4 linked regions of the Elephas maximus indicus genome follow. The protein of the gene in region 1 interacts with the protein of each later gene in a biochemical or structural test. Links are inferred from orthologs where the notes say so. Each region holds a gene or a part of one and is shown in the gene's direction. Other genes may lie near its edges.

What was found.
Region 2: the proteins of ERBB3 (region 1) and BCAR3 form a complex in vitro, tested with the Homo sapiens proteins (2 studies listed by BioGRID and IntAct, with this or other methods). The link is inferred for Elephas maximus indicus from reciprocal best matches to the Homo sapiens genes ERBB3 and BCAR3.
Region 3: the proteins of ERBB3 (region 1) and ABL1 form a complex in vitro, tested with the Homo sapiens proteins (2 studies listed by BioGRID and IntAct, with this or other methods). The link is inferred for Elephas maximus indicus from reciprocal best matches to the Homo sapiens genes ERBB3 and ABL1.
Region 4: the proteins of ERBB3 (region 1) and FER form a complex in vitro, tested with the Homo sapiens proteins (2 studies listed by BioGRID and IntAct, with this or other methods). The link is inferred for Elephas maximus indicus from reciprocal best matches to the Homo sapiens genes ERBB3 and FER.

The regions. Positions count from the first base shown.
Region 1 is NC_064822.1:116,043,081-116,050,769, forward strand, and holds the start of ERBB3 (receptor tyrosine-protein kinase erbB-3), read left to right. Parts: upstream 1-4,676; 5' UTR 4,677-5,040; coding exon 5,041-5,122; intron 5,123-7,689. UniProt on the Homo sapiens protein: Tyrosine-protein kinase that plays an essential role as cell surface receptor for neuregulins.
Region 2 is NC_064821.1:148,353,875-148,361,003, forward strand, and holds the start of BCAR3 (breast cancer anti-estrogen resistance protein 3), read left to right. Parts: upstream 1-4,110; 5' UTR 4,111-4,249; intron 4,250-7,129. UniProt on the Homo sapiens protein: Acts as an adapter protein downstream of several growth factor receptors to promote cell proliferation, migration, and redistribution of actin fibers.
Region 3 is NC_064827.1:81,646,104-81,653,667, forward strand, and holds the start of ABL1 (tyrosine-protein kinase ABL1), read left to right. Parts: upstream 1-4,564; 5' UTR 4,565-6,033; coding exon 6,034-6,169; intron 6,170-7,564. UniProt on the Homo sapiens protein: Non-receptor tyrosine-protein kinase that plays a role in many key processes linked to cell growth and survival such as cytoskeleton remodeling in response to extracellular stimuli, cell motility and adhesion, receptor endocytosis, autophagy, DNA damage response and apoptosis.
Region 4 is NC_064820.1:117,901,517-117,909,019, forward strand, and holds the start of FER (tyrosine-protein kinase Fer), read left to right. Parts: upstream 1-4,552; 5' UTR 4,553-4,820; intron 4,821-4,921; coding exon of another isoform or gene 4,922-5,256; intron 5,257-6,021; exon of another isoform or gene 6,022-6,225; intron 6,226-7,503. Other genes in the region: translation initiation factor IF-2-like, read right to left, coding at 4,406-4,552, 4,922-5,256. UniProt on the Homo sapiens protein: Tyrosine-protein kinase that acts downstream of cell surface receptors for growth factors and plays a role in the regulation of the actin cytoskeleton, microtubule assembly, lamellipodia formation, cell adhesion, cell migration and chemotaxis.

The DNA.
Region 1 (7,689 bases):
CTGGCCAACCAACTGGAAGAGATCCATATTTATGCCTATTCCCGGGGAAGGTGATCCAACCAAATGCGGAACTTATCGAACAATATCATTAATATCACACACAAGTAAAATTTTGCTGAAGATCATTCAAGAGCAGCTGCAGCAGTATAACAGGGAACTGCCAGAAATTCAAGCTAGATTCAGAAGAGGATGTGGAACAAATGTTATCATTGCTGATGTCAAATGGATCCTGGCTAAAAACAGAGAATATCAAAAAGATGTTTATCTGTGTTTTATTGATTATGCAAAGGCATTGGACTGTGTGGATCATAACAAATTATGAATAACATTGCAAAGAATGGAAATTCCAGAACACTTAATTGTGCTCACGAGTAACCTGTACATAGATCAAGAGGCAGTTTTTCAGACAGAACAAGGGGATACTGATTGGTTTAAAGTCAGGAAAGGTGTACGCCAGGGTTGTATTCTTTCACCATACCTATTCAATCTGTATGCTGAACAAATAATCGGAGAAGCTGGACTATATGAAGAAGAACAGGGCATCAGGATTGGAGGAAGACTCATTTACAACCTACGTTATGTAGATGATTCAGTTTTGCTTGCTGAAAGTAAAGAGGACTTGAAGCACTTATTGATGAAGATCAAAGATCATAGCCTTCAGTATGGATTACACCTTAAATAAAGAAAACAAAAATCCTCACAACTGGACCAATAAGCAACATCATGATAAACGGAAGAAAGACTGAAGTTGTCAAGAATTTCATTTTACTTGTATCCACAATCAACACCCATGAAGCGACAGTCAAGAAATCAAAAGGTGCATTGCATTGGGCAAACCTGCTGCAAAAGACCTCTTTAAAGCATTGAAAAGCAAAGATATCACCTTGAGGACTAAAGTGCACCTGATCCAAGCCATGTTGCTTTCAATCGCCTCATATGCATGTGAAAGCTGGACAATGAATAAGGAAGACTGAAGAAGAATTGAGGCCTTTGAATTGTGGTGTTGGTGAAGAATATTGACTATACCATGGACTTCCAAAAGAAGGAACAAATCTGTCTTGGAAGAAGTACAACCAGAATGCTCCTTAGAAGCAACAATGGCGAGTCTGCGTCTTACATACTTTGGACATGTTGTCAGGAGGGATCAGTCTCAGAGAAGGACATCATGCTTGGCGAGTACAGGGTCAGCGGAAAAGGGGGAGAACCTCAGCGAGGTGGATTGACACAGTGGCTGCAACAATGAGCTCAAGCATAACAACGAGTGTGAGGATGGCTCAGGACCGGGCAGTGTTTAGTTCTGTTGTGCATAGGGTCGCTCGCTATGAGTCAGAACCGACTCGACAGCACGTTAACAACAACAGCACCCTGTCAAGGAGCCCTGGTGGCGAAGTGGTTAAGCACTCAGCTGCTAACCAAAAGGTCAGTGATTCGAACCCACAGGTGTCTCCATGGGAAAAAAGACCTGGCCATCTGCTCTGGTAGATTTCAGCCTAGGAAACCCTATAGGGCAGTTCTACTCCATCATATAGGGTTGCTATCAGTCAAAATCCACTCAATGGCACACAACAACAGCGCCCTGATAGGGGGCCTTTCCAGGGAACTATGCATTGCATGGTGGGATCCGAAGGTTTCTAGAAGTCAGCTGGAGAAAGAAACCCATCAGTCATACATCTAAAAGTCTATCCAGGAATTGACTGGCTAAGGAGATCATGGCCTGATATGGGGGGAAGACCTCATCACTTCCTGAACTGATTTGCTGACTACAGCATTTCAGACTAGGTGGCCCCCTCTACAGACTGACTTCAGCGGACCCTCCTTCAGGGAGTCTCACCAGAGACCCAATCGTAAGTCATTACTCAAGCCCAGTGATCCCAGGCTCAGCAGTTCGGTGTGAGCGAGTGAGTAGGTGGGCCTAGTTTATGTGTTATATGAGGAGCCTATTTTTATTCCAGTGGGTCAGTGCTACTCAGCTCCCCACTGTGAAAAGTATGTAAATCACTCACCATTTCTACCCTCCCCATTCAGATTGCATCCTTACCTCAATAAGAATTCCCATTTTTGCTCCATCTAGACCTCTCTTCCAACTCTCCTCCCGTTTTATCACCCTTGGGTCTTTACATGGTGGAGGAACATGTGCACTTGAGCTTCACTGGAAAAGTAAAAGACATGGTCAATTCTGACAAGCCTCCTACACTGAGGCAATAATATTGCCTGACAGTCCATATGCAATTAGCTGGGTTTATTGTTGTTATTTTTAAATCTAGGATCAATCAGGGATCATTCATTGCATTTGGTTCTGTGTTTTTGATCTTCTTTGACGTGAAATGATTCTCTTGACTTTTTTTTTTTATGACATTGGCACGTTTAAAGAGTCCAGCCCAATTGTTCAGTAGAATGTAGGACAAGGAACTCTGTTTGGCCTTTTGTTTCTGGTTTTCAAAAATAGCCTGAGCAATTAAGGTACTCTTTGTCTTTCTAAAACAGCCCAGCCACATTTAAACAAGTGTAAAGTAGGGGACTACCCAGGCCCCAACCTGGCAAGAGACCTGAGGAAGAGAGGGGCGTGACGCACTCATTGACTGAACTGATAAAAATGATGCACTGAGGCCTCAATAATGCATATTCCAATTTGATACATGCACATTCATTGAGGTCCCAGTGACTAAAAAAAAAAAAAAAAAAGTGACTAGGGGACTCTAAACCTTGGAACTCTCTTTGGGGATTCCAGAATTGGTGAGAACATCCACGCAGGGGAGAGGGTGCTGCATGTCCTTGGGGACAATGGAAGCCTCATGCTGGGACCTCTCTCAGACCCTGCCTAATGTGTCTCTATGTTTGCATTCCTTCAGGTTATGATAAAGTATATGTAAGTACAAGTCATAGTCTCTGTGGATTTTGTGAGCCTTTATAGAGAATTACAGAACCCACAGGGGCCATGAGCCAGCAGGGGCTGCAGTACAGAGCTGATTTGTGTAGGCCGGGCTCTGAGCGGCTGAGTCCGACAGACCATGAAGAAGCATAGAGTCCTTCCAGCGTGTCTGACCTAATCCCAGGACACTAGGGTAAGAGAGAGAGAGAGAGAGAAAGAGCGAGAAAGACCAGTCTGAAGTGTGTTAAAACAAAAATCATATTATTAAGCCAACAATAGGAACTGATTGAAATTTACTGAATATATGATTTGCAAATTAGGGTAACATTTCAACTAAGAGTGTCCGAAATATTCCAAAAATGAGAAGAATTTCCAGCCAGGGCCCTGAAACCTAGGTTGAGGTGGTGAGCGATAGAAGGTCCTCTAATCTGGGGGAGAGTAAGTAGGGATGGAAATTCCTAAGTGATGTTAGCTCAGTTATCTGATGGGAGTTTGAATCTCAGTATTGCATAAGAAATCCTAGTCAAAAACCTGAGTCCCTCGTCCTGATTCTTCTAGATAAATCACGAGTTTCTAGAACTTCCGTTTTCCATTCTGTGAAAAAAGGGAACAAATGTCACCTAGTTTGTATAGTTTTTCTGTTAAGTGAAACATTCATTAAGGTACTGAGTTTGAGGAAATGTTTTACAAATTAAGTGGTATATGTTTGTATATGTCAAAGGCTTGTGCTGTCGCAATTACAGTACCACCGTCACGTGAGTGGTCTGGGCGAGGCCAGCGCCCTAGAAGTGGACAGAGAAAGTCTGAGAAGTTTTAGCCCGTTGTCTTGGCCTGGGGTGAGGGGCGACATTTTTCTTCATCAAGATACAATTGTTCTTGATTATTCAAGCCTGAAGCTTTGGGGAAAATAAAATCGACTCTCCGTTTAAGACCCGGAATGCCAATCTCTGGGACTGAAATCTACGCCGTGTGGGGCTGGTGGGCACCAGGGGGCGCCAGTTGGGTGCGTCGAGGGGCCTGGCCCAGCCTTGGGCAGCCACCCTCGGTGCACCCGACCGCCTCTGGTCTGGATCCGGGAGTTGGTGCGAGAGGTGCCAGGGATCCATGCCATTCACGGACGCAGTCTCTATTGCCCCTTCCTTCTTTCCAGTGCGAGCCCGGGCTTGGGAGGCGCCGGAGGGTGTGAGCGCCTGTGGCGAGGTGTGCCCATATGGGTCCCCAGCCGACCGGCGAGAGCTACGGCCGCCCCGTCGGCGAGGTCACAGACTCCAGTGTGGAAGGGGCGCCAGCTGTTCTCCCAGGCGGCCGTGGGGGGCAGCAGAGGGGACGGCGACAGGTGCGGGAGCCCCTCCCAGGGTGGAACTGGAAAGCGGGCTCTGGGGTCTGTTCCCAGGCTGGAAACCACCCCCGCCCCCCAACCAAATCCCCGGGAGAGGCCGAGCCGGCGCCGGGTCTGGAGAAGGAAGCGGCCGGAGACAGTGCAATTTCACGCGGCCTCTGGGCTCGGGTTCCTGGGCAGGGGGGATGAGTTGTGGGGTTTTGAGCCGGGGGAAACTGAGGTGGCCTAAGCGTGAAGCAAACAACACCCTCCCCCTCAAAAACACACAGAGAGAAATATTCACTCCAGAGAGAAAATCCTCAAGTGATCCAACCGGCTAGGGGAGATGAGTGATTTGGTTAGTGGGCGAGGCCAGCTTTCAGGGGGCCGGGCTTTGGCGCTCTCTCCCCGCCCCCATTACCTTTCCGGGGATTTGGGGGGCTTCTGGAATCTTGACCTCCGCCTTCGTAGCCCAGCTCCGGAAGGAAAGTTAGAGTGAGACCCCTTCTTCGTCTGCTTGGCGAAGAAGAGGGAGTCCCGGAGTTGCCGAGGTGTGGGGCGCGCTCGGGGCGGGCAATCAGTCGGAGACTCCAGCAAACTCCTCCAGCCCGGCTCGAAAGGGGGCGCGGCCGTGACTCACCCCCTCCCCTGCGCGCCCTCCCTCCCTCCTCTCACAGACACACACCCCTCCTCTGCCACCCGCCAGGACTCCGGCTCCGGCTCGGGTGGTAATTTGCTGCCGCCGCCGCCACTATCACTTCGCTGGCGGGTCAGGTGGCTCCTGCCTCGATGTCCTAGTCCAGGGGCCCCCGGGCCGGACTTGGCTGGGCTCCCCTCACCCTCCGCTGGAGTCATGAGGGCGAACGGGGCTCTGCAGGTGCTGGGCTTCCTTCTCAGCCTGGCCCGGGGCTCCGAGGTGGGCAGCTCGCAGGCAGGTAAGCGGCGGGGAAGCACTGGCCAACTCGGAACCGGGATCCGAACCGTGCGCGGAGCCACTGAGGGTGTGAGGCGCCGAGTCTCGCACAGTGCGAGGCTGAGGCTTCTGACCCCGACTCCGCGGGTATCACCTGGGAGGGGACGGTCAGGTTTGGTGGCTTGGGTTCTCGGCGTGGTCCGGTCAGGGACCGGCTTCCTGGGCCCCCTTCTCCCTAGCGCGCCAACGACCCTCTAATTCGTTCCCCTGATGGTACTGACGGCGAAACAGTAGTTCACACTTCTGAGGGACCCTCAGGGAGAGGAGCCGGAACCTCCATTCCGTAAGAGTAAGGAGATGATTGGAGGTAGAGATCTTCGGGGGGGAGGGGGAGTCTCTACCCCCCAGTTTCAGCAACCTCCAGTTTCGTTGTTTTGCCGACAGGGCGGAGCTACGGGAGGATTGGGGGTGGGGAGGGGAGGTGATGGTGGTTGTTGTTCTCTGGTGTTGGAAAACAGGAGCTGCACCTCCTCTTCCGTGAGTGGCCTGCCCCGGGGAGGTCTGAGATTAACCAGAGGGCCAAGTCCAGGTGACAGCAGGGTGAGAGGCCCAGCCCACCCTGGCTGCCCGCTTTCCCTCCAAATAATAAAGCTGGCTGGTCCCCTACGAGGCCAACTTCTTTTTGGCAAGACCCAGTTCAATTCAACTAGTATTTATCGAGCATCTACCATATACTAGACCCTAGGCCAGGAACTTTGTAGGGACAAGGGCTTCCAGCCTCTATTTCTCCGTTTGTCTTTTCTCTCCCCAACTTGAGGCCAAGAATGCCCTACTTCCACCTTCTGAGGCTTCTGCCCTGGAGAGCCCTTCCCAGGCCCAGCTCCTCACCCAGTTTCGTTTATTTGACTCCAGGAGAAAAGAGTCCCAGACTGCTCATCTCTATTCCTTCCCCCCAGTGCCACCTAATCTCTTTTTGGGGGTGTCTCTGGGACCGCAGACACCTGAGGGGTGCCAGAACTGGAGGAGTCCTGTTGATCTCCTCTCCTGTTCCCAGATACCAGCTTGCAGTGTGTGGCACAGCCAGGGCCCCTTCCCCAGGGTGGGAGTGGGAAAACACCTGTGCTTCCCCCACAGTTGCTGGGCCTAAATTTAGACCCTGGGATCTTGAGATATGAACACTCCCAGCTGGTGGGGGGGGGGGGTCTGGGGATTGGAGTGGGAGGGAGGAGCGAAGTGACTATCACTGGTCCATCCAGACCCCTGGAATTTTCAAGCAGTAACCCAGGAGTCCCAGATTCTGGCCCCTTCCCTGGGGGAGGCAGGAGGCAAGCATGGTTGGGTCTCTTTACCCTTTATCTGGGTTCTGCAGCCTCTGGGCATCCGGCCCTGTCTCAGTTCTATAGCCCCTTTGTCCCAGCTATGATGGCTGTGATGGGGGTGGGGGATGTTAGAGGGGAGGCCCTTGGTTGAGGAGGGGCTTGAGGTTCTTGTTCTGCCCCACACCCAGTTCACTCTACCAAAGGAGAGCTTGTGACACTGACCCTTCCTATCACCCTGGCCCTGTGGGACAGTTAGGGATTTTTGTAAAATTCCTCTCTCCCTGTCCCCCTCCTCAAGCTGTCTGGCTTCTCCCCAGAGATGTTGTTCGTCCCTCTCCCTGCCCAGGCCCTTTGCTCCCTGTTTGTGTAATATGGACTTTACCCTCAGGGTGGCAGGGAACTGGAGATGGAACTCTAACAACTAGCCTTCCAAGCATAGACACAGAGTCTGCACACACACATATGCGCACTTGGCGGTGGATGGGACACCTGAAATACTTCCCAATAAGAAAACCCAAGGGCAGAACTCATATAGATTGAAGGGGAGCTATAAACATGTTTGTATGTGTGGGCCTACATGTGCGTGCGTGCACACATACACACACCACTTCCGTATGCAGAGATCTTGGCTCCTCCCTTATCTGGGGACAAGGATTGGCGCCTTGACTTGGAAGAGGGGGTGTCTTGCCAGGAAGGGGGTTGGGGTGGGGCTGAAATGACTAACCTTCCTAGTCTCTTTTCAGCCCAAGGACCCTGAAGTACCCAGGCTCCTTTGGGAGTTCCTGGCCTGTTTACCCTTCTTCTGAGCCTACATCTACCCCCCCCCCCCACTGCTCCCCTAACCTCTCCCCCCCCCCAGGAGTGATAGATAAGGGGAGCCCCTCCAAGGTCAGTAGGTCAGAATTGGGTAGATCTAAGAGGAGGGGCTGGGGCTTCACCATTTTCCCTCCATTCCCACTCCTGCCTCCCACTAAGCTGACACTGCCTCAGGGAAGGGTGGTTGGAACAGGTGGTATCTACATACGAGCACATGCGCTCAAACACACACACAACAGAGTCTTGCACCGAGCCAGGTGAAAGAGACAGGAGCAAGGTTTCAAGGTCCACCATTTCCTGGAGCCCCTATATCCTTCATACTTACAAGTTAAAGGGAACCCCGAGACTGACATGCCTCCCGTACCTCTATTCTAGACTCTCCCCTAGTGTGGGTGAGGATTGCCATGTTGAGAAGGCCTTTTCATGAACCCCTTTGTCAGTGAAATTGGGTGGG
Region 2 (7,129 bases), on another chromosome or scaffold:
GCAGCTACCTATAAAGGGATAGAGGAAACAGGAAAGGGACAGGGTTAAAAACAAGGCTTCTTTGAATGTACCTTGTTTTGTAGGAATGATTTTGAAGTCATGAGAATCATGAGACTGAATTAAATCTAATTTGAAAAAAGACAATTCCCTAAAATCAAAACCACACAAAGCAAAACGAAACATTTCTAAATGTAACTCAAGTTGGTGATCAACCACTCAAAGAAGCATGATTTCAAGAGACTTTATAACACCAAGCCCTGTGCCATGGAGTCAATCCCGACTGATATAGATGCTATAGGACAGAGTAGAACAGGCCCCCATGGTTTCCAAGGCTGTAATTTAAACCAAAAAATCAAACCAAACCCAGTGCCGTTGAGCCAATTCCGACGCTATAGGACAGAGTAGAACTACCCCATAGAGTTTCCACGAGCACCTGACAGATTCGAACTGCAGACCCTTTGGTTAGCAGCTGTAGCACTTAACCACTACTCCACTAGGGTAATTTAAACAACAAAAAATTTTTATTGTGCTTTAAGTGAAAGTTTACAAATGGAGTCAGTCTCTCATACAAAAATTTATATGCACCTTGCTATATACTCCTAATTGCTCTCCCCTTAATGAGACAGCACTTTCCTTCCCTCCACTATTTTCGTGTCCATGCAGCCAGCTTCTGACCCCCTCTGCCTTCTCCTCTACCCTTCAGACAGAAGATGCCAACATAGTCTCATGTATCTACTTGATCCAAGAATCTCACTCTTCACCAGTATCATTTTCTATCCCGCAGTCCAGTCCAAATCCCTGTCTGAAGAGTTGGCTTTGGGAATGGTTCCTGTCTTGGGCTAACAGAAGGTCTGGGGACTTGTCCTCTGGGGTCTTTCTAGTCTCAGTCAGACCATTAAGTCTGGTCTTTTTATGAGAATTTGTGGTCTGCATCCCACTACTCTTCTTTTCCCTCAGGGGTTCTCTGTTATGTTCCCTGTCAGGGCAGTCATCGGTTGTACCCGGGCACCATGTAGTTCTGGTCTCAGGCTGATGTAGTCTCTGGTTTATGTGGTCCTTTTTGTCCCTTGGGCTCTTAATTACCTTGTGTCTTTGAAGTTCTTCATTCTCCTTTGCTCCAGGCGGGTTGAGACCCACTGATGCATCTTAGATGGCCGCTTGCTAGCGTTTAAGACCCCAGAAGACCGATGCTGTAATCTTTATGGAAGCAGATTGTCACATCTTTCTCCTGTGGTTTCAAACCACCAGTGTTTTGGTTAGCAGCCAAGTTCTTAATCACTGTGTCACCAGGGCTCCTTCTTTATGATACAGTACACTATAAAGAAGTACATCCTAGTGGGAGATACCCTATTGCAAAAAGAACTCCAAAAAAATTACTAAACTTTCCAGTTATTGTATTGTTAGTAATAACATTGGTATTTTTATTCTGAAGCTATTAGATACATATTGTAGAATAAAGCAAATAAGTTGATAGAAAGCAAGACTTTCAGTATAACAGAAAAGATACACAACTGTAAATTTTTTTTAAATAAGAAAAAGCTCTAAAATTTAAATTTGAATCAAAAATATTCGTATGAACTCATGATACAGTTTCTCATTAAAAAAAATCCTACTTCCTGGCTCTGTCCACTAAAGAAAGTCTACAATGACCAATCGAGTGGCAATGTGTGCCTCTGGTGACAGCTTGTGGTCTCTAACTACCATATCCCACTAAATGGAACCAGGGCTCCTCCTGGAGGAGGAAATACACATGAAGAGCCTGGGACATCATGACGAAGCAGATGGGAAAGAGATTGTCAGGCACTCCTGGGTCATGTCAAAAGGACTCAGTAGTCAGCTTGTCAAGGCTCCCACTGGCCACAAATCAGACACTTGGAGCATAAATAAGAATAACTGAAAAGAACTGGAACACATGAATCCCACTGAAAATTCGTATGTTCGTAATGGTGGTCAGAAAAGGATAAAGAACCCCACGGTCACCTTTGGGTGACACTGGGGGACCAACTCGTTATACTGAAAACAGACAAGTAAACAGGAAGAACCTCAGGGTTAACAAATGGGAGGGGAGGGGAAGTTTCTTTTTATAAGAGTATTCTAGCCAATAATGAGGAAGAAATAGCGCCATTTTGAAAACCCTTAAAGAAATAATGGGTCTAGTCAATGATCCCCAGGCCGCTAGCATCACAAACAGGAAGACACAGGATATTATATATTTTCTGATGAAAGTACAAGACACCACCTATCAAATTATTGTCAAAGAATTTCACCCAAATCAGACTAAGTCTAGATCTAACTACCAGTTTACGAGAAACAGTAGGGACAGAAGAGCATTTTAAAAAATATCACAGGCATATAATCAGGAAAATCCAGAATGTGGGGAATTCTATAGGACAAATGATTTGGTTTCTTCAATGAAAAATTTGTAAGGAAAAAAACAGAAGGAGAGAAACCTATAAATTAAAATAGGCATACCAACCAAATGCAATGTATAAATCTTGTTTGGAAGTTTGAATATTTACTAGATACTTAATGGTATAAAAGAATTGTTGACAATTCATTTAAAAAAAAAAATGTTAATGGTATTGTGGTCATGTTTAAAAAAGAAAGAGTTCTTATCTTTTAGGAATATGTACTCAGATGAAATGATGGAATGTTTGAGGTTGGCTTTAATCTGGGAGAGGAAAGGGGGCTGGATTAGATATGAACAGGATGGGCCATGAGTTGTGGATTACTAAAGGTTGGTGATAGATACATGGGGGCTCATCATCCTATTCTGTCCGTATACTGAAATTTTCTAGCGTATGAACTTAAAAAAATAAAAATGCAGTGTGTTAAGTCAGAGGTGCCCTGGTGGCACAATGGTTAAGTGCTCAGCTGCTAACCAAAAGATTGGCAGTTTGAGCCCACCCAGATGCTCCACAGGAGAAAGACTTGGCGATCTGCTTCCATAAAGATTACTAACTATAGCCTTGGAAACCCTATGGAGCAGTACTACTCTGTCCTATAGGGCCTTTATGGGTCGGAATCGACTCGACGGCACACAATGGCAACAACACATTAAGTCAATGGCTCTCAACATAAGGCAGGGTCTGAATCTACCTGTGAAGGACACCTCCCTCTCCTGATCCTACTGAGATCTTCTGTCCTAAATACTTCTCTAGAAAACTGAGTTGGTTTTTCCAAAATTGTTCACTGCAGCTTGCTTGCTGATGGGGAAAATTTGTTGTAAGCTCCTGGCTAGGTGACAAGCATATTTTTCACTAGGCAAAAAAAAAAAAGGCAAGAGAGGAGGAATTTTTTAAAACTCTTTTTATTATAAAAGTATTATGTACATCCCACTAAAACATACACACAGTAAAAAATTAAAAATACAGAAAAAGTCAAATCACTCCTCCTACCTAGTTCTACTCCCCAAAGGCCCCACTGCTCCAAGTTTCTGTAATTCTCTCCAGACCTTTTCCTAAACATATACAAAATTAAAAATAGCCCTGGTAGCACAGTGGTTAACCGCTCGGCTGCCAACCAAAAGTTAGGCGGTTCAAACCCACCAGCCACTCTGCAGGAGAAAGATGTGGCAATCTTCTTCCATAAAGATGCACAACCTCGGGAACCCTACGAGAGTGTTCTGCTCTGTCCTGTGGGGTCACTATGAGAGTTGGAATCCATTCGACAGCACACAACGTACAAAAATAAACAGGATTTGAACCTTACTGTAAATACTGCTTGCAACTAGCTTTTTTTCCACTCAGCAGTATAGCTTCGAGATCTTTCCATAGTAGCAAATACAGGGTCTTTCTCTTTCATATTCCATTGTATGGAAATACTATAATTTAGTTCAGATCAGTCTCTAGTTGGCAGGCATTTTCTCCAGTTATTTCCTCTTGCAGACAGTGTTGCAACGCACCTTCTTGTACACACATAGGAAAGGAATTTTTTGAAAATCCACATCTCCTAAGAAAACCCCTCCCTCATTCTTCTAGAGAAAGTGCTCCGTGGCATGAAGCAATCACACGGCAAACCTCTTGGACCTGACCTATGACTCACCAGCCACCCAATGCTGGACAGCTGGAGGCTGAGCCATCAGGAGCTTGCCTGGCTCCTGGAGGCAAGCAGAGACAGGAGTGCCCGCAGCTCTGAGGCGCTGGGCTTAGGGTGGTTGATGGATCCCTGAATCCCCTCATGCACGAAGCCTGAGCCTGGGAAAGTTCAAACATCAGCACCAAGAGACTCACTTGCCCACTGTGATTAGGTAAGTCCTCTGGCTTTAAAGGATTATAGGGCTAAAGGATGTTTAAACTGAGTGTGATTCACCTGGATACAGCAATGGTTCCATTGGCGGTATGTTTAAAGTGAAGAGACTGTAAAATGCTAATGTTGATCAATGCCTTTGAGGGCCACAGGGTCTCAGTGCCCACCAACTCCTCTGGTTACCCATGCTGATTGAGTAGCCAGAAAAAAAAAAAAAAAAAAACCAGAGTAAGTTTTTATTTCAGGATATTCTTTTTTGAAGTGTGGTTTGTGTTTTATCCTCTGGAAGTCTTCTATGTCAGCAAGACTTTTATTTCCTGCTGTGTAGGGCTTTATGTGGGGTGTCTCTTGCCAGATTTCAGAATTTCCTGGCAAGGAAGAGAGGCAATTTGAGTTACCCGGACGCAGAAAAACACATTTCATTTCAAGAGAGCTTTTCAGGTGTCACTGAAGATGTGCAAGAAACTGGATTAAAAGCTATAAAAAATGCTCTTTAGAGTAGAGAAACTATTAGAGTACGGCTCCTGGACACCCTTATATCTCAATATTGAAGTCACTCCTGAGGTTCACTCTTTGGTCAAAGATGAGACAGGCCCATAAAACAAAATGAGACTAAATGGCCACACCTGCCCAAGGGCAAGGATGAGAAGGCAGGAGGGGACAGGAAAGATGGTAATGGGGAGCCCAAGATCGAAAAAGGAGAGCGTTGACATGTGTGGGGTTGGTAACCAATGTCACAAAACAATATGTGCATTAATTGCTTGCTGAGAAGCTAGTTTGCTCTGTAAACCATTTAAAGTACAATAAAAAGATTTTTTTTTAATGTTCTTTAAAAAGTATTCTCCAGTTGACGCTTTGGTGAAGCTCTTGGCACGCGATCTCCTGAATGGGAAACTCTGGGCAGTTGCTTTGCCAAAGAGACATTTGTTAGACCATAGGGACAGGGTTTGGAAGATGGTCAACTATCTCAGTCCAGACTGTGTGGGGCTTCCTTTCCAACTTGGACAATAAGTAGCAGGGCTCAGAGCAAAATGCACAAGATTTGGTTTGTTTCTCCTAAAAAAAAGTGCTTATGGTGCTTGTAGTTTGAAAAGTAGATGAAGGTTTTACATAGCTTCCCTCTGAAGAGCATATTTTGGAGTTGCTCTTTATTTTTCTTAATTTCTTTTGTACAATTTGGCCAGTCAACATTTATCAGAAGGCAAAAAAAAAAAACAGTTGCTATCAAGTTGCTTCTGGCTCATAGTGACCCCATATGTTTCAAAGCCATAGGCTTTTCAATGGCTGTGATCTTTTCAAAGCAGATCTCCACATCTTTCTTCCTAGTTGCCTCTGAGTGGATTCAAACTGATTACCTTTCAGTTGGTAGCTGAGCATTTAACCTTTTGTGCCACCATCAGAAGACAAGCTTATGCTTATTTTGAAGGGACCAATGTTCTTGCTGTTCTGACAACCTGATGCTTCAAGATGGCATCTGATTTAAGAATAATGGATAGTAAGAAAGCATTGCATTAGTGGAACTTGAGGTAGGGGACTAAGTGAGGAAGGAGGTAACAGGCTGTGGGGAAAGTGTTGTATCTTGCGGTGACTTTGGAGATCAAATGAGTTCAACCTGGCCAACCAACTGGAAGAGATCCATGTTTATGCCTATTCCCAAGAAAGGTTGTCCAACTGAGTGCAGAAATTATCGAACAATATCATTACTATCACATGCAAGCAAAATTTTGCTGAAGATCATTCAAAAGTGGCTGTAGCAATATATTGACAGGGAACTGCCAGAAACTCAGACTGGATTCAGAAGAGGACGTGGAACCAGGGATATCGTTGCTGATGTCAGATGTATCTTGGCTGAAAGCAGAGAATACTAGAAAGATGTTTACCTGTGTTTTATTGACTGTTCAAAGGAATTCAACTGTGTGGATCATAACAAATTGTGGATAACATTGGGAAGTACGGAAATTCCAGAATAGTTAATTGTGCCCATGAGGAATCTTTACACAGATCAAGAGGCAGTTGTTCAGGCAGAACAAGGGAATACTGAGTGGTTTAAAGTCAGGAAAGGTATGCGTCAGGGTTGTATCCTTTCACCATACCTATTTAATCTGTATGCTGAGCAAATACTCCAAGAAGCTGGACTAGATAAAGAAGAACAGGGCATCAAGATTAGAGGAAGACTCATTAACGACCTGCGTTATGCAGATGATACAGACTTGCTTGCTGAAAGTGAAGAGGACTTTAAGCACTTACCGATGAAGATCAAAGACCACAGCCTTCAGTATGGATTACACCTCAACATAAAGAAAACAAAAATCCTCACAACTGATCCAGTAAGCAACATCATGATAAATGGTGAAAAGACTGAAGTTGCTAAGGTTTTCATTTTACTTGAATCCACAATCAATGCCCATGGAAGCAGTAGTCAAGAAATCAAATGATGTATTGCATTAGGCAAATCTGCTGCAAAAGGCCTCTTTAAAGTGTTAAGAAGCAAAGAAGTCACTCTGAGGACTAAGATGCCACTGACCCAAGCCATATATTTTCAATTGCCTCATGTGCATGTTAAAGCTGGACAATGAATAATGAAGATCAAAGAAGAATTGACGCCTTTGAATTGTGGTGTTGGTGAAGAATATTGAATATACCATGGACTGCCAGAAGGACGAACAAATCTGTCTTGGAAGAAATACAATCAGCATGCTCCTTAGAAGCAAGGATGGTGAGACTGCGTCTTACATACTTTGGCCATGTTGTCAGGAGGGATGAGTCCCTGGAGAAGGACATCATGCTTGGTAAAGTATAGGGTCAGCGGAAAAGAGGAAGACCCTCAACGAGATGTATTAACACAGTGGCTGCAACAGTGAGCTCAAGCATAACAACGATT
Region 3 (7,564 bases), on another chromosome or scaffold:
CTTGTGGGGTAATGGTTAAGCCCTTGGCTGCTAACTGAAAGGTTGATGGTTCAAAGCCACCAACCCCTCTGCTAGAGAAAAGACCTGGTAATCTGCTCTCATGAAGATTACAGCAGTTCTACTCTGTCCTATAGAGTTGCTATGAGTCAAAATCAACTCAATGGCACACAACAAGAAAAGTATCAACCTGAAGATTTAGGGAGATGGACGTTCCAGATGGGATTAGTTTATGACAGCAACCCTTTGGACTTCATCTTGCCCATCCCAAATTTAATGAATGTCAGAATAGTTGTTCTTGTCAGCTATATCCCATAGAATCTTGCTGATGTATTAAGCTAATTCTAGCAGATCATATCTTGAAACACTTAGCCTCTGTAAGGGAAAGGCATACAGAAGGTTTATATTAACTGTGTTTGGTTTCTAAGTTTGGATTGGCTTGGTGATCTGCTTATGGTTGGTTTCTTTTCTGTCAAATGCCTTTTTCCTTTTTTCAGATCAAAGACATCTTAAAGCCAGAGATAATGGAAGAAATTGTGATGGAAACGCGCCAGAGGCTGTTAGAACAGGAAGGATAAGGAGAGGCACCTGCAGGACAGGACTGTCTGTACCTGGCTGAAGCCGTTCTAGAAAGTGAAGAATCAAATTGATGGTCCCCATGTGCAGCCCAGTAAAGAGCTGAGAAACTCATCACTTGATGTGCATCAACAGCTGTGGGCTGCCACCAGCCTACATACCTGCTTCCTCCTTCTAAGAGAGGACTGGGTGGAGAGGTGAACAGTGCCTCTGGCCCTTCTGGTAGGCTGAGTCCCAGCACTAGGGGGTAGTTTCAGGTCTTTGAAAGCGTGCAGAGTTCCAGCGAAATGGACTTCCATCCTGGAATAATGTGGAGGATCCTTTGTCTTCCACTCACCATCATTCAAAGTGCACAATACCCCATGAAATTGCCCCTATAAAACACATGGCATCTCTGACCCCCAAAGTGTCTTTGTCTCTATTTCCAGCTCTAAAGTGCAAGTACAACATTCCAGTTAATCTAGCAGTCAAATGGAATAATAAAGTTAACCAAGCCGTTGTTCGCTTGGTTTGACTCTTATTTCCCATTGAATGTTTTTTCTAGTGATGGCTGAAAATATATCCGCCCCTTAACCTCTGTCCTGCCTTGAGGGGTGAGTCGTAAGAAGCTGAATTATTATCGACAGCAGAGAGAATGAATGTTCTGGATCCATGTACCTTTGGGTGTTGTGACAAACATGAAGAAAACAAAGTAAGAAAAACAGATAGAAAAAGAAAAGCTGTTTTCCTCCTGTCATTGAAGTAATGCATTTACTTTTGAATTAATTTGAGGTTAAAAGATAAAAACAAGGTGTTGATGTTCTCACCGAGGGATTGTTTTTTCTGACGACTGCCTAAAAATGGTGCCCTGATTTAGGTTGTTGGGAAACATTTTTTAAAGGCGCTGTTTTAAAGGGCTGTTTATTTCAAATATGTGGTAAACTACTTTTTTATATTACAAAGGTGGTGTTAACACCATTGATTTGTGTTCTGTGTAATAATTGTAATAACAGGAGGATTTAGTGAATATAAGTTCCTTCTGACAGCTCCTGACTATACTTGGGTTACCTAATAATATTTGGCCTTATGTTAGTTTCAATGGCAGTAACTTTTGAACACTGCACTGCGCTTGAAAAATGTGAAGTACAGATTCGCCCTATCTCATTAAATGGTATTTTTTTCCTCTTATTACTCAATGGGCAACTTCTTATGTCACTTTTTTTCTACCCCACCTTGTATCACTGGTTTTCATGAGTTTGCAGACTCATCAAGATTCTATAGGCTATGCTTTAACTTTAGATTTTCTCATTTGTTGTATTTTTGAGAAAAATTTCCAGGCCTTAAGCCTTTTGTTAGAAGGGAACAGGAGGGTTGGTGTCTGAGTGCCAGTTTTGGTTTTGACTAGGGCCATAGCGAAAGCTCACTGAAAGTTTATCCTTATCACTTGGTCTTTCCCAAGGTGCCAGGCCTATGCTGCTCATTCAGTGTTGAATCGTGATTGCCTATTAAGTGGAAATTAATAGAAGGTTTGAAAGCACCTTTTGGTGATTATTTTTTGTGGCCCACTAGAGGGCACCCTTGTTAAGTATAATTTCAGTAAGTTTAAAAAAGCTGAAAATTTTACACTGGTGCTGAATTTCTTTAGCAACCTAGTGGGTTTGCTTTGCTTTATAAAAGCGAGAACAAAATTAGACTCAACTAAATCATTGTTTATGAAAAGGCTTTGAGCTTAAAGGGATTTAGTCAACATTTGGTAACATTTATTTGCTTTTGACAGATATTTGCTGGGCTCTGGATCCAACTTTCAGTCCTCAAAAGTATCATTCTGTAGTGCTATACAGGAAGTAAAAAAATATAGTGCCTCTCTAGAGAAAAATATTACAGCCTGGGCTTGGGGTTCACCTAAAACTAACAAGCAGTGGAAAATGGACATTAGCGGTAATAAGCCTTTAGGTGAAGTGCAGTTGATCTTTACATTGCCTATCATGAAGCATGGTCTCAGTCTTTTACTGTGGAAAATCAAACAGTATCTAAGATGATCCTCATGATAACCTCATAAAGTAAGCAAATAGGACCCCCACTCATAGGCGAAGAAATAGATGGAGAGAATTAAAGTGATTTAAGCCCATTAGCAATTGTGAATAAGATACATATTTAAGGTTTAGAGAGGTATTATAAAGCCCTTCTTTAGAGTGTGGGTTGAGACTGATACTTGGGTTTGTTACTTACTTTGTGTACTTGCTGTCCCTTCGCTATGAGTCGGAATCGATGCCACTGGGTCTGGTTTTCTCCCATGTATGCTTCATGAGGACAAGTATGTTTTTTCCCCCACTGCTGTATTCCAGCTCCTAGAACAGTGCTTGGCACATCATGTGTGCTCAAGAAATGCTTGTTCAATGAATGGTAAATAAACTGTTCAAGGAACATGTATTGGATCTGATTTGATTGCCCAAATTTAAGCTAAATTAGAGAATGAAGATACATGAAGATGTGGAGGAAACGAGTAAAGCATGAATAGGAATCAAAACAAATTTTCCAAAAACAAAAATGGGGGAGGGGGGAGGGGAATAATCAGGATTATGGGAAAATAAAGGGGACCAAGGGTGTTAAAATTTGAAGAATGACTCAAAAGTTGCTACACTAGACGTCAGTCAGATATTCTGCGACAGCAAAGCTAAGCCAATTAACATCTGAATTTGTACATTAGTTAGAAATCTAGGCACATGTTTTCATAGCTTCACCTCCAAGTGACTCCTTTCCCCCTGAAGGTAATACCTATGCAATCACAGCACCATTTTACGTTCCAGCAAAAATATTTCTAGAATACATAACTCATTTGTTGGGCTAATGTGTCACCTACATATAGCAGGGGAATGTACAACACTTATAATGGGGCTGTGGCTTCCCCCTAATCAGCAACTTCTGAAAAATCTATTGTTTAGTATTGCATCAACAGTTATTTGATAGTGAAAAAATGGGGAGTAATATTCCACGCATTATTGCACTGTAATGAGGATTAAGTGAAAATGCAGTTGATGAAAAGTGCTTAGTAACAGTGCTGGGCGTAGAGTAGGCGCTGTGATAAGTAGATCTCCTTAGAAATGAGTACATCCCGACCACATGCAATGCTTTGAGGAGACAGGGATAGGGAGCCAGGGTGCTTTTCAGTTGCGGAAGATGGGTTATGACAGGTGTGTTTGGTGTGTCTGGGTCACTAATTAGCCCCGCAGCCCTGCGAAACTCAACGATCTGGGCTTTACCTCAGCTAACATGGATATTTTTATGGGTATACGAGTTCATCTGTGAAACGAGGTTGTTCACTCTTAAAGGTTCATTCTAGCTCGAACATCTTTGAACGCGCCTGGCAAAGCCTTGGAGAGGTGCTTAACAACTGCAGTTTGTTAAATGAGTGAGCCTCGTGATACCCGGAGAAAGCAAACAATTGCATTCGTTAGCAATACGTCGGATGCTTTCCAGCTATATTTTTCACTAGCTCTAATATTTATGCTTCTTGGGGAAAAGGTGGAAATTTGGGTGGAAAGGTGAAAAAGGCACCAAATAGTCTTCGTTTCCAGGAGCAAGCCAAATTTTTTCCCCTAAAGAAGCTTAAGGAAGTAATCCAACTCCGGTTCGGGGGATAATCCAATCCGCAGTTTTCCCCTTACTTTGGCTCTTCGCCGGTTTTATTACTTGCGAAGGGGAGACATTGGCCAGCCCTACGCGAGGCCATCTAGTCCACGGTCTCCCAGGAAGGCGGGACCGAAGCTCAGGAGTTGAGAGCAAAGGGCAAGAAGTACCGGGTGCCGGCCAACAAGAGCGGGCTTCGCAGAACCACAACTCCCGGCCTGCCCTGCGGAATACATCGAAAGTGGTTGGTTGGGAGCTCTAGCACCATTGCACCTCTGGCCAATGGGATGGAGGAGAGAGGCCTGACCCCGATTCTCGGGAACCAATGGCAGTACAAAGGAGGCGGGTGCTTCCTTACTACTCACCTTGCCCCTCAGAATAAACCACTTCTAAGAGGTTGTGTTGGTCCAGATTCTCGCAGGCAGCGAGACCAGAGCCGGAAAGTGCGGCGGCGTCCCTCGAAAGCTGGTCCAGGGGCATCCCGGTCTTTGAGAGGCGCGCTCCGGAAGCCCTAGGGGGCGGGGACAGGGGTGGAGCCTGGCCTCGTTGTGAAGCTGCTCGTAATCCATCATGGCGGCCGCGGGGGTCGATGTCTTTCCCTGAGCAGCGCTGGAGCCGGAGCCGGTTCCCGGGTCCTGCAGCTGAGGAGCCCCTCCGTTGTCTACAGCCCCTCCCGGCGGGGGGAGGCTGGGTTCCGCGGCCGAACTCGGGGGATGTGACTGCCTGGTGGCGGCGGCAGCCGTGGCAACGTCCGGGGCCGAGGGAGGGGGTGTCTCGGGCTGAGCCCCCTAGGCTCGGGGCAGCTGAGGCGGCCGGGCCTCCTTAGCCCCTACACCGGCTTCCGACTTCGGGGCCGCGAGGGTACTTAGTCCCATACAGCCCGTCCGGGCTTCTCGGGTACTGGGGGTGGCCTCTGCTCCCCCCCAGACCTGAAACACCCCGTTTACTGAGAGGTGGAGGAGCATCGCCCCGGAGTAAACCGCCGGTGCCCCGACCCGGCAGCTTCCTTACTCCCAAGCCGCCTCTTGCTCCCATTCCCGGTTCCAGGTTTGGCCGTGGAGTTCCCCCCAGATTCAGATTCCCTCTCTGCTGTCAAGTGACCTCTCCTTCCCCCCAGGTTGCTCCTGCAAGCCTCTAATGCCCTGACTTCCAATGTCACCTACGGCCCCCTCGGTCTCAGCCCAGCCAAAAACTTTAATGCAAAGGAAAAGTCTGGACTGGTTTCACAGGCCTTTTAAAAAGCGAACTTAAAAGTTGCTGGCAATGCATTCCTTCTCGACAGAGTGAAGGGCAAGCTCTCGCTGAAATCTGGGTGATCCGTGTCCTTTTCCGGACAGAAGGGTAGAGAAGCGGGAGCAGCAGCCAGTTCGGCAGGAAATTTGTTGGACGATGAAGAAACTAAGATAGGGGGTGGGTGACTTGCACAGGAAAAGTTCTGGAGGAGCATCTAAAGAAGATCAACGTTTCCTTTACATGTGGGAGTTCAAATGACTTTAGTATTGTTGACCCTTTACAACATTCCCTGTGAATATTTTTAAGTTTTTCCTCTTGAAAAGAAAGACGTTGATATTCAGTCAGTAAAGGACACTTAAAGTCAAACTTTTGGGTAACATTACAATTCCATTACTTCAAATTGATTAACCGCAAAAATTATTGGAACTCCTGTTTACAAGAGTCAACCTAAGAACTGTGCTTCACTCTTGTTTTGGAAGGTGTCTTTTTGTGATTGACCTCAATTACTGACTTGTGGAGATGCGGTGAATGTGAAATCCCACATATATACCATTTTCTTTTTAAGCTTACTGACTGTTCTGGAAGACCTTGAACCCTTTTCTGGGTGCCTAGCATTACTTTATGGGGCAGCAGCCTGGAAAAGTTCTTGGGGACCAACGAAGGCCAAGTTTGCCTGCCCTGCACTTTATCAAAGGAGCAGGGAAGAAGGAATCATCGAGGCATGGGGGTCCACACTGCAATGTTTTTGTGGAACATGGTGAGTGCTTTTTAAGGTTCCTGAAGTTGTGTTTTTCCTTATGTCTGCAGCTTAGGTCATCAAGGAACTTTTGGATAGTGTTCGTGCTAGTTCATTCCAGTACTGCTTAAAGCTTCTGTTACTGTAGTCTTAGTTTCTGGTTGAACTTTCTTTGTGTAAGAAAAAGCTATGGTTTTATTCAAAATCTCTTTGAATTGCTTATGCCTTTCCTGATTGTGATTTCAATTCACTGTTGACCTTGGACAAGCCCTACCATGTGGTTCCAGGGCCTCAGTTTTCCTGAGGGTTGGACTTCGGTGGTTTCTTAGGAACCATAGTTTTATGATTCTGCTCTAATCTAGGGCATGGGCTCTTCACCTGAGGTGCATACACATGTCTGGGCTGTCTGTGCTTTTATCTACAGAGAGCTTTTTATCATATTTCAAAGTGGCTTGTGCTCCCCAAAAGCTTAAGAATTGTAAAACCTAGTTGACACTAATATCCTTGACCTTTTCAGTCGTAAGTAGCTCACTTTGGAGCTATGTGGGAAAAATCAAGTGGGGAAGCAGCATTCCTTGTGAACTGAGAATACACAGCGTCTAGTTATTTTGCCTTAGCGGAAGGAATAAACCTTTCCCCATTGAATGAGCGTTCATCCTCCTCCCTCTCTGTTGGGAATGACTTTTTGGGCAAAATAGTTTGTATTTCACGTTTTTGTGAACATAATGCCGACAGTACAAATTATACCATTCGCTTCCAGTAATTCTGTGTGAAATTAAAGCTAAGGGTTGGTTTAAACTGACGTCTGTAACAGAGGCCAGTGCTGTTGCAGCCTGCTGTTTTTGTATTGTGCGTTTTATGTTAAATATCCATTGAGCCCACCAGTCCTGTAAGCAAATATAAGATATGTGCAGGTGACACGTACTTTGAAATTCTGTCACAAATACTTCTTAACAATGGATGATGCAAGTAAACAAAGGCCTCTGCTCAGTGAACTTGTAGTTGACAGGTATTCACCTCATCTAACTAAATTTTTTACAGACGGGTATTCACCTCATCTAACTAAATCTGGGTAGTTGGATTTTACTTTGCCTTGAAACATTAGTTATATTTTAACATTGGTTTTAGATATGCAAATAGGGTAATCCATTACCTTATGGTGCTTCTTAAAGTCAGGATTTAAAAATGGAATTCTTTACTTTTTAATTAATCATGGTCATGCAATCTTAAGTAGTAGAAATTGGTACAGACATTTTGGAGAGCTTTGGCAGAATTTATCAGAATTTAAAATGCACATACCAGTGACCCAGTAATCTCACTTCTAGGAAACTAACCAAGTATAGAATGGCATAGTGCCTAGATGTCCCTGATGCCCTTTCAGGCAATCAAGACGTTAAACTCTTTTTGTATTAATAC
Region 4 (7,503 bases), on another chromosome or scaffold:
AGATAAGCCTTCCATATTGTATATCTCATCATCATCTCCATTTTAGGATTGGTATGTGCAACTAGTTAGGTATGAGCTGTGGATCAGAGAGAGCAGAGTCACAAAGCAAGGAGGTTAGCAGAAAGAAGGAAAAGAGAAGGGGCCCAGATTCAGAAAAACAGGGAGGGATATTATGAGGACAGATGATACCCAACCAAAATTCATCTTGAAGCATGTAAGAAACTTTTAAATAGGAAAATAGGAGACATCGTAAGAGGGATGGGTGGTACTAACCAACAAAAGTTAAAAACTTTCAATCAGTTTTTATTACATCTACATTATTATATTCATTTGTCCAAGTAAATAAGGTTATTAGAAAAGATAAAAATTGGCATTTGGGAAAATAAGGACTTATTTGTTTATTGCAAGAAAAAAAAATTTTTTTTTTTTAGTTTTTTTTTTTTTATATACCTAGGTAGTACTGTGACATTTCAAAGCCACGGTACTACCTGGTATAGATCTAAATCTTAATGATAGAAGACAGATTGCTTAAATGCTATGCTAACAATTCCAACTGAGATTCATGTCCCTCCAGGCCCTGTGGAGATGCTTAGTATTTTATGAGGCCCATGGATCACCTAGACAGGAATTATTTTCTTTCATTCTTCCATATTCTCCCTATATTTACAGATATAAGGGGTTGCACAGTTTATCTGAAATTAGGAGAAACAAAGTGCTGTTAAATGTGGTGCAGTTCAGAGTGATACAACAGGGAAAAAATTAAAGTGAATTTGCTATGATTTTTTTTTTTCAGTTTCAAAAATGCACCATAGATTCTCCCCACATGCATTTCTTTCAAATGTATTCATTTAAAATTACATTTCCTAGTACAACACATTGTACAAAGTAGTTTCTTGAGTGAATTGGTAAGAACTGAGTAATAGCCGAAGAACTGGAAAGATGCTTATTCTCTTCAGAGATCTGAGTTCCTTAAAAAACACACAGGGTGTATATGGCTATGGATTGAGTTGTGTATCCCCAAAATATATGTTGTAAATCCTGTACCTGTGGTTATAATCTCATTTGGGAATGGGTTTTCTTTATGTTAATGAGGCAGTATTAGTGTAGGGTGTGTCTTCAGTCAATCTCTTTTGAGATATAAAAGAGCAGCGGATTCAGCAAGCAAGCAAGCACAAAAGGAGGGGAAGATGCATGCTGCATGACTGCCAAGGAATCTAGGAATAGAAACCGAAAAGAGACAAGGACCCTTCTCCAGATCCACAGAAAGAAAGCCTTCCCCTTGACCTAGCAACCTAAATTCGGACTTCTAGCCTCCTAAACTGTGAGAAAATAAACCTGTTGGTTAAAGCAACCCACTTCTGGTATTTCTGTTACAGCAGTACTAAGACATATTAAACAGCTCTATCTTCACTATTATATCTTTATTCCTATTCAAAGCTACTTTCTGCAAATATGTAATAATTCACCAACCACATCTTTCTAGATTCCCTTTGTGTAAGGATAAGGAAAAAGTCTAGGGTTCTTGGGAAAGGCAAGCCTTGATGAAGTTGTGGCATAGTGGTTAAGTGCTATGGCTGCCAATCAAAAGTTCGGCAGTTAGAATCCACCAGGTGCTCCTTGGAAACTCTATGGGACAGTTCTGCTCTGTCTTATAGGGTCACTATGAGTCGGAATTAACTTGATGGCAGCAGGTTTGGCTGGGAGAAGTCGAATTTTGGCTTTACCTATTTAATTCACAAATATTCATTCATTTCATTCATATTAACATACCATATACCACCACTCTTAATGTTCACAGGAAACAAATTTCTATTTTAAGGGGTTTAATACATATGGTATATAGACAGGGAACTGCCAGAAATTCAGGCCGGTTTCAGAAGAGGACATGGAACCAGGGATATCATTGCTGATGTCGGATGGATCCTGGCTGAAAGCAGAGAATACCAGAAGGATGTTTACCTGTATTTATTGACTATGCAAAGGCATTCGATTGTGTGGATCATAACAAACTGAGGATAATATTGCGAAGAATTGGAATTCCAGAACTCTTAATTGTGCTCATGAGGAACCTTTACATAGATCAAGAGGCAGTTGTTCGGACAAACAAGGGGATTCTGATTGGTTTAAAGTCAGGGAAGGTGTGCATCAGGGTTGTATTCTTTCACCATGCCTATTCAATCTGTATGCTGAGCAGATAATCTGAGAAGCTGGACCATATGAAGAAGAATGGGGCACCAGGATTGGAGGAAGACTCATTAACAAGCTGCGTTATGCAGATGACACAACCTTGCTTGCTGAAAGTGAAGAGGACTCGAAGGACTTACTAATGAAGATCACAGACCACAGCCTTCAGTATGGATTGCACCTCAACATAAAGAAAACAAAAATCCTCACAACTGGACCAATGAGCAACAACACGATAAACGGAGAAAAGACTGAAGTTGTCATGGATTTCATTTTACTTGGATCCACAATCAACAGCCATGGAAGCAGCAGTTAAGAAATCAAAAGACACATTGCATTGGGTAAATCTGCTGCAGAGGACCTGTTTAAAGTGTTGAAGAACAAAGATGTCACCTTGAAGACTAAGGTGCGCCTGACCCAAGCCATGGTATTTTCAATCACATCATATGCTTGTGAAAGCTGGACAATGAATAAGGAAGATCAAAGAAGAACTGACACCTTTGAATTGTGGTGTTGGCAAAGAATATTGAATATACCATGGACTGCCAAAAGAATGAACAAATCTGTCTTAGAAGAAGCACAAACACAATGCTCCTTAAGAGCAAGGATGGCGAGACTGAGCCTTACATACTTCGGACATTTTGTCAGGAGGGATCAGTCCCTGAAGGACATTATGCTTGGCAGCGTACAGGGTCAGTGGAAAAGAGGAAGACCCTCAATGAGGTGGATTGACACAGTGGCTGCAACAATGAGCTCAAGCATAACAACCATGGCAAGGATGGCTCAGGACCGGGCAGTGTTTCGTTCTGTTGTTCATAGGGTTGCTATGAATTGGAACAGACTCGACGGCACCCAAAAACAATACGTATGGCTTAGGTTGTGCAGTTAACAGCCACTACAAAATATAGGCCAAATACTAACTTTATTATAATTTCTGTTTCTATTGAAATTTATTAGTGGTTCAGGGATAAGATACCCCTAATGTGAGATCATTTTAGAGAACTATTTAAAAACCAAAAAGTAATCATTTTAAGTTCATAGTCTCAATATTTTGGGTTCTTTGATTTTAAAACAGTAGACAAGAAAAGTCCAACTTAAAATTTATGTACGTCTTTCTATGTCTAGGGCTGTTCAGATGGTAAAATAAATAACCCTATTTAGAAAAAATATTTACCACTCTTCTTTGGTTCCTAGTAACTCAAGTTTTTCAGCGGAAGTGTGGAGATGGGATTGACATTAGACTGCTGCAGGAAAAGAATGTGGTTCAACCCAACTCACAGGATACAACGCCTAAAAAAGCCTGCTACAATAGAGGAGAGTCACACCCCCAATAGTGACTACCACCTATCATACTTTTACAGATCACCCGGTTATCTTCGTTTAGTTCACATTACTCATTTCCCACCTAATTCTTTCAGTGAAGGCTACTTCAGAAATAACTCTCACTGGAAGAGAAAACCAGTTTGGGTCCTTCAGGCATTCTAGATTCTTGAAGAGGCCATTCACAGGACCTGCTGTAGGCTTTTTAACGGCATCCATCACAATTCCAGATTTGAAAAATCTAGTATTTTTTAGACACAGTCCTAGGCACTGGGAATACAGAAATGGTTCCTCTTAAAGGACTCAAGAATCCATTACCAAACTAAACCCGTTGCCCTCAAGTCGATTCGGACTCACAGCGACCCTATAGGACAAAGTAGAACTGCCCCATATGGTTTGGAAGGAGCGGCTGGTGGATTTTAACCGCCGACCTTTTGCTTAGCAGCCAAACGCCTAGCCGCTGCGCCACCACGGCCCCGAAGAATCTACTGGAGACGCGGGAAACCATCCTATAGCAATCAACGTTATAAAACCGAAGCAAGTAAAATACTGGAAAGTATAGGAAAAAGTGACTGATTCTGAGGATGAAAGTGCGTATCTGGACTAGCGGGTCTGCGGCCCCAAACAGCTTCCCTTCCCAGGTTCGCCCAACACCCTGCGGGCACACTTAACATTTTAATCAGGCCTCCGCCCCCACCGTCCGAATTCCTTTCCGGTCGCGGACCCGCCGGGTACTCCCTTCCAGGAGGCCCAGCTTATCACCCCCAGCCCGGCCACTTTCCGGCTGCGGCCAGGCGAGCCTCCCGAAGTTTCCTGTGACGCCGCCGTCAGTCTCCAGACTCATCCCACCCTCACTCCCACCCTGGCAGCTCAGGACACAGTCTAGAGAGAAGCAGGTTACCGAGGCAGACAGAACAGCTCGAGCAGGCGGACCTCGGGACCCCACCCGGACCCGGGAGCGGGCCCAGAAGGCGGCGGCCGCGACTCCACGCCTCCCCTCACCGCGCCCGCTGCCCCCGGCTTTGCGCGAGCCCACCCGGCCCGGCGCCTGAGTCCCGCCCCCTCCGCAGTTCAGGCCAATCGGCCGCGCCCCGCCTCCTGGGAGGTGGTGAGGAGGGGGTGTGAGGGCCGGGCGTCAGCGCCCGCCTTCCACCTGCATCCATTGGCTGCGGCCTCTAGGGTGCCCGGAGACCGGAGTGCAGTGGGATTGGCCGCAGAGGCTCGTGACAGCGGCGCTTATTGGCTGCGGCGGCCACCGTGACGCGGGGTGGCGACTGTCTCCCCTGTCTGAGGGGCTCCTGCTTGTCAGGTTCTAGGTAGGTGCATTTCGCGCCGCCAGCGGCAGGCGCTGTTGCGCGGGGTAATTCTTGGGGAGGGGGTAAGAGAAGGGAGGGCAAGCCAAGAGCCGGGGCAATACCTCCCGCCCGCAGGGGGGCGACTAGGAATCGGCCCCGGCGGCGGCGACGGCGCGGAGGACTCTTCTCTGCCCTCAGCCACCCCCACTCCCGCCTCAGCCTGCGGGGTCGCCCGCCCATCCTCCCGCCAGCGGCGGAACATTCCTGGTTGGGATTTGGGCCGGGCTGCACACCCGGCCCCTCGAGGCCCGCCCCTCCCACCAACCCGGGACCCGGAGGCTGAGGGGGCGGGTGCCGGCGCTAACGGGTGGTGGCGGGTGGGGTGGCCCCTCCCCGCGGCGGGATTGGGGTGCTGCGGCATGTGGGGTAGTGTTGGAGCGCTGTGGGCACCGCCCATCACGCCTGTACCACCTTTACTGTGCGCGCTCCTCTCCCCGGCACCGCCCTCCATTTGGGGCGGACACCCTCGACTGCGAGGTGTTCTGTTAATCCCTTCCCAGCTCTGGGGCCTTGCAGTCTCCGTGACCCCTCTTTAGTATTCAGCCATGCTCCTCCCATGTGCCAAGTTCATCTCCCACTTTTATTCCCTCCTCCCTCCTGTCTTGGCCATTGGTGTTCCCCGTGGTTCCAGATAAGAGACTCATATGTGTGAAGCTAGTACAGTGGGGGTCTCGGGTGAAGGGGCAATTTCTGCTCCGTTCTCTCTGCCATTCGGGACTGGGGAGGTGTTTCGAGGCTTTGAGTCAATTTCTGGCTTCAAGTCTCCCTTAGGATCAACTCTCTGAAACATGCTAATTGGGCTGGTGTTGGTAGGGTCAGGGTACTTCATTCACAAAGGGATTTACTGTTAGGTGGTTGCTTTTTTACTTTGTACATTTGTCAATTTCGTATTTAGTGCTCAGCAATACAAAATTAATAATTCGTTAAGGCTGGTAACTTCATTTTCGTGTTTTATACCTTAATGGTTAAAGTGAAGTTTTAATCTTTTTTATTAAGAATCTGCGTATAGCGATTTTACGTTTTGACATAAACTGCGCTAAAGATGAAGTACTATTTTCCCTTCCTCCAAATAGTTTAAGATAGTTTCTCTAATGGAGTCACCATATATAAAAGTGTAGCTGTAAAATCAATAAGAGGATAGATTTTAGTGATTAAAGACTAGAAATACTTTTTAAGCAATGGAACGAAACAGGATTAAACAAAAATGTATTGCAAAATACAGTTGCTTCACTAGTGCCTTGTAGTCCTGGTAAGCCTATGTGGACTTTACCAAAAACCAAACCCAGTGCTGTCGAGTCGATTCCGACTCAGAGGAACATGGATTTGTGAGAGCTACACGTTTCAGTGGGAAGAATGCAAAGAAAGGGTAAGTGTATCTTTTGTAATCTAGGAAGTCATTTCTTCCAGCACTGTGAGCCAAAGGAAATATGTTTCCAAATGTACTGGGAGTATATTAAAGACAGTACACAGGCACACTTTGAACCTTTTCTTTGTTTCTTATGTGAAGACTTTTGGTGAAGATCTTTTTTTCTTCTGCTCTGATGCTTACGGCAGTCAATATACAGGTTTCCCCTGCTGAAAGAAAAGCGTTCCCTCTGAAACCTTTCATAAGCCAAAATGGCGTAAAGCAAAGAAGCAGTTACCATTAATTTATATGGGAAAAAGCTTTGAGCATTCCAAGGCTCAAAAAATAACCTACCAAATCATCCCAAGTAGCACAGAAGACTTAACACTAACGTATAGTAAAAGCAAGGATGATATGATAAATACACAGCCACGGCAATGGGTTTTATTGGGTATATAAATTGGAAATTACGTACAGTGGAGTTTCTCTTGCCAGAATCGGGAAGACAGCGAGCACGCCGGAAGGCTGAGACGAAGTGGTGGTGATGATGGTAACCCCGGCAGCTTAGGTGGCAATGGCTGGATTGAAGGGCCGGGGTTCAAATCCTACAGAACAGTGGGATTTATATTAACTGTGCTTACGGAGGCTTGAATCCTACAGTTAAGGAAATGTACAAGGAACAAGTCCTGGGTGAGATTTCGAGGTGCATGGTGCGTTTATAAGTCACCAGGCATTTGACTGAACATGGCTGGGTCTTAAGTAAAGGTGGAGGAGTTTGAAGGACGAGGTTGGTCAAGCCGTTACTGCGAAAGGAGCTTTGAGGGTGCCACTCTCCCTGCTGCTTGGGGTGCGCACTGCCTTTTTAATAGCTCACAAACGCTGGACGCTATTTCTGCTTTTCGCCTTTTTTTTAAAACGAAAATCCTCTTGGGATTTCTTTTGATTACTGAAGACAGGTACTGTAATGTAGGTCTCTTGTAAAAGCAAAGTGGCGTAAAGGTAATGTTCGAAAAGCGGGGGACACCTGTACACCATCTAAAATTATTTAGCGTACAGTTTTTTTTTTTTACAGTTAGTGCAGCTCTGCACCATTTCGAAGTTGATGATGTCTGTAATGTAGAAGAAATGATTTAGGCTTTTGTTAGGTAAAACACTTGCATCTTCAACTGTTAGTAGCTAAATATAACTCTGGTCTGTGAACATTTCAAATTTGCCTGTTTTTTTCCCCAGTATTTTACTGTTAAAAATTTCAAAAATGCAGAAGAGTTGAATTGTACAATGAATATCCACCACTTGGAC